2 linked regions of the Kluyveromyces lactis genome follow. The protein of the gene in region 2 interacts with the protein of the main gene of each other region in a pairwise test. Links are inferred from orthologs where the notes say so. Each region holds a gene or a part of one and is shown on either strand. Other genes may lie near its edges.

Region 1 (3,315 bases), on a different chromosome or scaffold from region 2:
CAAATTGAATGGAATTGGATATGGTCAAGATATACATACATAACACAGGATAAAAAGGTATATAGCATAGATATTTGGCATTTTAACGGTATTAAAAAGAGGAAAACGTCAAGATTCGATATGGCAGAGAGTCTGTGCCATAAAGAAACAAGAGGAATGGGAAAAAAAAAAAGAATTTTTTTTTTTTTTTCCAGTGTGTTTCTACAGTAGGAAAAACCAAGGAAAGGAAAATGAGGAAAAAAAGAAAAATTTCATGGCCATGCCCTATGAAACGTTAATTTTGGTAAATTTACCATACAAAATTGACGATTTTTTGTATGGTAAAACTTATTTTTTCAGTTTTTCAAGTTTCGCGGGTTTTTTTTTTGTTTCTTGAAGATTGTTAAGTAGGAAGGAAGGAAGGAAAATGGATTAACGTGGGATTTGTTCGATCTGGATTATTTCGCTCATTCGGTGGACCCTCGCCTGGGTGACTTGGGACTTAGGACTTGGGACTAAGCCAGGCATTGGGCTGGCCTGGAAAGGCCAGCCTAGTGTAATATCCCCAAAACTGAGGCAGAGGCAGAGGCAATTCTGCCTCTGCCTCAGTTTTGGGGGGATGCCACTTGTTACCCCGCGCGCAGATGATCCCGTCCCCGGGTTTCTAACCCATACACCACACGGTATCTCACCCTGGAGGTATTTCCGAAAGGAAAATGTTAGCCTCCACGAAAACGGACGTTCTGTGATGTGCTATTTGATTGGTTCGTGTTTCGTGATATGAAACAAAACCGGGTAACCATGGCGCACGTCCTCAACGAAAGCCTTTTATTATGTATAATATACACACACACACACACACACACACATACAAACTACCTAGTTGGCCTGCCTAGCCGTCTTGCCTACGCCTGTCGCAACTTGTTCTGTTCGTTCATCACTTTTTGCAACTGTTCCTCTGTCTTGAAGTCTTGGCGCCAATTACAGATCGGACAATGCAATTGGTTGCCCCAGAAAATTGGGCACACCGGCACGAACCAAAGTGAGATAAACTCTCTTCTCTTGACCGGCTTCACTTGAAAATTATGACAATTTGGGCAATATATCCCACTGTACTGAGACTCCAATGGATGTCTGGAATCCCAATCTTTTTTACCAAAGATGATCGGTACAAATGACATTGCGGGTTACTTAGTGTGTTTCGATTTTAAGGGTCCTGGTCGTGGGGCCTGAGTCCTGCCTGAGTTCAAAGTCCGAGCTTGCCAGGATGCAGCTCATATATATATATATATATATATACCAATTAGTGGGCTTTGCCATTTGCTAGAGGCTCTATTTCCTGCACGGTAGTTTCTTTTTCGTACCCTTTTTTTTTTTGCTAATTACGTAGGGATGTGCAAGTGTTACCCGGCGCACGCCGGGTAACACGACTCGGTTGTCTTGTGCGATCTCCTCCCTCCCTCTGAACACGTGCCGTGTTCAGCGGGTCCTATGTCTCAAAAAACTGACTCGGGATTTCCTTTCCCAAAACGGAAACTCCAAAATCGCCGTCCGCCCGTTATCCCTATCTCGTATCAGTAAACAGGTAAAATACCTTCGCAAAAACCTAAACAGAAAGTGCGGCCGATAAGATGGAAAAAGGAAAACAACCCAGTCTACGTGCTTTGTCTCCTGGTCTGTCTGACTTCCGATTGACTTCGAGATACTTTTTTGTTTTCACTCCATTTGCCTTGTTCATTGGTTCTGCACCGCGACAGCTGGGATCTAGTACTATAGTATTTGGGAACGGCGAACGACCTCCACTTTTTCCCAGACCAGTTTCCCACTGGAATAAATGGCAATAGCTCTCCATCTCTGTTTCTCCGTCTGATATCTCACTCCAAAATCTCGATATCAATTCGCTTTCGTAGTCATACATGTACGGATTTATTCCCCTTTTCATGCATTTTTCTCGAATCCTAATCTTTATTATACTATAATAGATATCGTTTTTCTTTATAACCTTAAATTCTATACTGTGGGAATAAGAGAAAAATGGTGTAGTCATATACAGTGTGGGTAAAGAGAGGAATTCAGCAGATTACTGATCTTTTACCCATAGCTTGCTGTGCTAATATATATATATATATATATATATATGTGGTAGCATTGGCTCTTGTACAATTCAATTGTGTTCTTTCTCTATTTCTTTTCTCTATATAGTTTGACACATTTCCAATGTGTCTTAAATTTTCTACTGTATCTATTATAACCTTTTTTTTTTTGGTTTGACATTTGGCTGGATTCACTATAGGATTGCGCAGAGTCATGGACACCTGAACCATATATACTTATACTGTTCTATCTATCATTGTGTGCGTAATGTCGTGGTCTCAGGGAAATGTATCAGATGTGTTCAGTTTAGGATACGACTTCAGTAGTAACGTTGCGTACCCGAATTTGCTTTTAGATACGGAGCTCGAATCAAATTTGGAGTCAGATGTTACGGATGAGTTACAATTACAACCACAGGTGTCGGACTTTTCTATGTCTTTAGCTGATGCCTACACTTTCAATTATACCGATAATACTACTGCCAGTGCCAGCAGTGGCAGGATTAGCAATGCTAGTTCTACCGCTGGCACTGGTGACGACACTGCCGAGACAGCGACGACGACGGCGACAACGCCGCTACCCCGTCAAAGACGGTACTCGAAGAATAACCGTCAAACACCACCATCTTCATCTTCTGCATCTCCTTGCGGGAACCCAAACTCGCAGTCTGGCTCGATCTCTAGCAATTCGTCGAAAAAAGTGTCTGATTCAAGGCTCTCGGCAAGAGGATTGGCTGAAGTGTTGAATTTGAGTTCCCCCGCAGAAGCGTTATACAGGGAAAAATTTATCTTGGACATCTTCGAAAAGGAATTGCACTATCCATTGGGTTATAAGACTTGGGTCCGGGGTACTACAAAGGAGTATAGAACCAGGATTTTATACCAACTGCATCAGCGCGTTAAGACCAGGTATCCCGAGTACGATGAAAAAGTGTTAGAGATCATCATCAGAAGAGCCACTTACTATATGATGCAATCAAGGTTAAGACGAGAACGTAGAGCCAGAGCCAAGGCAAACAAATCGAAATCTACACAACGGATATCGAAAAACGATTATTCTTCTTCACGGAACGCAGGAAACGAAAATGGAGACATGGACGTTACTAGTTTCGATTTCGGTGTCAATTCAAATTCGTTTGTCACAGGAAACGCTTTCTTAATGTAAAGAAAAGAAAGAAAAATAAAACAAAAAGCCTGGTGCTTGCTTCTACATCCTTTTTTCCTTCATTTCGTCCCCCCGCCC
Region 2 (3,757 bases):
GAAATAAAATATTTAAACGGATGCCATCAGAGGTCATACAACTGTACACGTTAACCATGAGTCGCTTCTTGCCAATATCCAAGAATAGAATGTCTGAGAATCCGCAACTGCTACAGGAACAAGCTTTCTATGACTCTGCCGGTTCCTCAGAAGACCCAAAAGACGATTCAATTGCCAAGCTTGAGAACCAATTGAAGAGGGAAGGTGTTGACAAAATAGAAGAAGACGCTGCTACTCGTCCCATTGAGCTATTTGGTACCCGAAATCCTAAAACTGTTGACATTATTGATATTAAGAATAACGTGCAAATGGATCACAAAGACATCAAAGTTACTGCTAAAATTTTAAGTATTTTCGACAATGGTAACAATGTGACTATATACCTTACTCGTAGTGGCATGGTCGGTACTCAATGTACAATTGAAAACCCTTTCGAAGAACTTCTTAAGGTGCAAATCTGGGGGAGACAGAACTTGACACTTTTCTTCGGGAATCCAAATTATAGTTATAAGAGGGAAGAACTGACCGCCTGCATCGGTTCTATTGTGGACTTCACATTGATACCTAGAGTTCTGCGCGTCAATGAGTATTTATACATCAAAATATGGTGTCCTATTTATGCAACATTGGAGAGCTTACTGATTCACAGCAGATTGGAGTATGATAACGACACACTCAAATACGAAAACCTCTCCGATATTGATTAAGAACTAGGCGTATTTTGAAGTTGATTTCATTACATGAAGAAAGCTTGTCACCGTCATTATACTGGCGTCGCTAGCGGAGGTAGCATTTGTATAATTTTTTAATATAAAATAGAATACTCGTATAATTATGCGTAATAATTTAGAAAGTAACCAACTCACACATAATGCTGATAATCAGATAAGAAGGATACTTCATTTTTTAATATCACTTCTGAGTGCGTTTGACCAAATAACTCTCTATTAATCATAAGTGATGTAATTCAAGCTTTGGCCAACGAAATTCTCTAAGGAAACGTGCAACAAGAAAATCGTAACATATGCATGGCCATTTAGTGTCTTCTCGAAGCTGAGGGAATACGTTATAACACCTCTAAGATCGGGAAACCACAGAGTTGGATTCGAATGCCATAAATATACATGATTTCTAGCCGAAGGAACATTAGTGATTATATAATCATAAATCGCTAAGCAAGGATACGTTTTGTTATCCTTCGGAGATAATCATACAATTCAGAGTATTCAACGTCCAAATGCAAGAGGTCTGAGAAATAGAAATGGCGTTTTGAGCAAGGCAATTATTATCCAACGGAGAACAACTGACAGAATAATCAAAAAAAAGGCTTCAAGTGTCCATTTTGTTTCCTGTAACGAATGGGCACACTATTGAACTGTGAATATTGACTGCGGTTTCTAATTCTCGACAAGTCTCTCATCCAAATGCCTCCAGTTGCCACTCACTGTCTCGTGCAGGATATCTCTACTGAGTGTTTGCTATCACTGCCTTTCTCGACATGGATTATATAAGCCATTTGACACTTATTCTCCGGAGCAAACTTTGGAAAAAGGAAAATGCCGACAGTCGAAAAGAAAACAGAGAAGAAACTCAGTACCTAAATAATTAGGGGAGGTAAGCATTTGAAGAGAAACATCCTGCAGAAGAAACTTTATTGCTCTGAATGACCGCTCAAAGTAGGGCAAAAAGGGTTTCTAAAGGGTGTGTGGCAGTAGGCATTTATGTTTGCTCTTTTCGGCGTCTTGTTTTTGCTTCCGTTAAAGAATAAGGTATACAATTTAAATCTACCGATATTAATTTAAGGGGTTGACTTTGTTATAAAAAGACATCAAGATTAAAGAGTTGACCGTCCAAGTTGAGTTGTAACCTTTTACCTTTTGAGCTAATTTTGGATGAAAGGATTTTTTAATTCTGTTAATTGTTTTGGTGTGATTTTGTTTCTCTCAGTTTGTTCTTCTTCTCCATAATCAAAGCTAAAATAATAACCATATAATACTAATTTTTAATAATATCATGAAGTTCAAAGGGTTCGTTTCTTCGTTATCGTTGCTTTTCTTATTGGGTTCTGGTTTGTTGACGTTTTTTGTTATATTGTCTGGTGCTAGGACTACTGGTGTATTGGACAAATTCTATTGGTTTGAGGCTGACACCAGTGGGTTACCTGGTGCTCCAGATACTACAAGATGGTTCAATTACCATTGGTGTGCTTATGAGAATGGTGAAATCGGAAGTTGTTCAGGCAAACAAGCGGACTTACCATTTTCCCCTAGAGACAATTTTGGAAACAGTCCTGATCTTCCAGCATCATTTAGAGATAATCGTAATACCTACTATTATTTAAGTCGTGTTGGTTGGGCAATGTTGTTGATTGGTTTATTCTTCGTGGTACTCGCATTGATTCCTGTGTTGCTATCCTTTTTCAAGGTTGGTGTCGGTGCGGTATTGTCTACTGTTTCTATTTGGCTGGCTTTATTTTTCATCACATTGGCAGCCTGTTTGTACACAGCTTGTTACGTGAAAGGTCGTAACACTTTCCGTGATGCCGGTCGTTCAGCATCGATGAACACCAAGATGTTCGCATTTTTATGGACCTCAGTGTTCTTATTATTATTAAGTTCGTTCTGGTCAATAATTTTGAGTGTCACAATTGGTGTTCAGAAAGTCAAAGGAGCAAACACTTATCAACCGTATGAGGGTACTAGCTCTCATGATGATAGTTACAACGTCGACAAGCACACATATGAAAGCGGTGTCAATGACAACAACCGTCAAAATATCAAATGGTGGAAACTTCGCTACAAGAAGAAAGACACCGTTGCTGTTTAATTGTAGTCAAAAGTAGTCAAATCAAAATTAATTAAACATAACGACTCGAATCTCAATAAAAAAACGCCATTCACTAGAAAACAACATTTTTTCTCCCGTTTGATACCCATCTGAAACCAATACTAACACATATTAATAATTATTTCCAATTTTCTTTTAATTAGCGTCTACAACAACATTGTTAACAAGGTTAAAAATCTCGAAGGTCATGAAGAGGAATCCAACGATCCTTCCAGAAAGGATTACCAGTCTTCATCAGCTAATCAAGGGAACTTGAACAATTCTCACCAACAAACCACAACTACCTCTGGGACCCAAGCTTACCCTCATGATAATCACTGGCAAACATCTAGAAACCAAGCAGAGCCTGGAACCAACATTGGCCAAAACTACAATGAAAGTTTCCCAAGTGACAGTGATAAGAAAAATTACGGTCTGAGCTATCCATCTTATGGCAATGAAGGCACATTCGATGATCATCCACCTGGGGTCAAAGCACCATCTCATGCCAGAAACTTGAACGACTCGAATGGGCATCATGGGTCGGTACTTGGAGGTAATGAGCCCTTATCCTCGCACCATCCTGGCAGAAACGCTCAACAACAAGAATATGTTAATGTTGGTTCCTCGGATACGCCAGTTCATACCAACGATAGCAAGAGCTATGCAACTACTAAAAATATTGGCGAACCATTGAAATCGGGGAATGGCCAAGAGTTAGCCGGTTCTAGCAAATATGCCGCTAAAGATACCGAGAAGACAGACATTTATGACAGAGATACTCGCCCTCAAAGTGAAGACTCCGGGAAGCACAGAAGAAAGAGTTCTTTCAACAAACATGCTATAATGGCTACCTTAGGTCTAGGTGGAAAGTCCGACTCTGACAAATCTAAGAAGCAACAAGAGGAGTCAAATTCTCCAACTAAGCACA

Evidence for each region.
Region 1: the proteins of KLLA0_F20900g (region 2) and KLLA0_E12387g interact in a protein complementation assay, tested with the Saccharomyces cerevisiae proteins (2 studies listed by BioGRID). The link is inferred for Kluyveromyces lactis from reciprocal best matches to the Saccharomyces cerevisiae genes FMP45 and YBL029C-A.

What each region holds. Positions count from the first base shown.
Region 1 is NC_006041.1:1,093,488-1,096,802, forward strand, and holds KLLA0_E12387g (uncharacterized protein), read right to left. Parts: upstream 1,161-3,315; coding exon 885-1,160; downstream 1-884. Other genes in the region: KLLA0_E12409g (uncharacterized protein), read left to right, coding at 2,341-3,237.
Region 2 is NC_006042.1:1,948,737-1,952,493, reverse strand, and holds KLLA0_F20900g (SUR7/PalI family protein), read left to right. Parts: upstream 1-2,013; coding exon 2,014-2,826; downstream 2,827-3,757. Other genes in the region: telomere-binding protein CDC13, read left to right, coding at 1-707; KLLA0_F20878g (uncharacterized protein), read left to right, coding at 3,673-3,757. UniProt on the Saccharomyces cerevisiae protein: Involved in sporulation and affects the sphingolipid composition of the plasma membrane.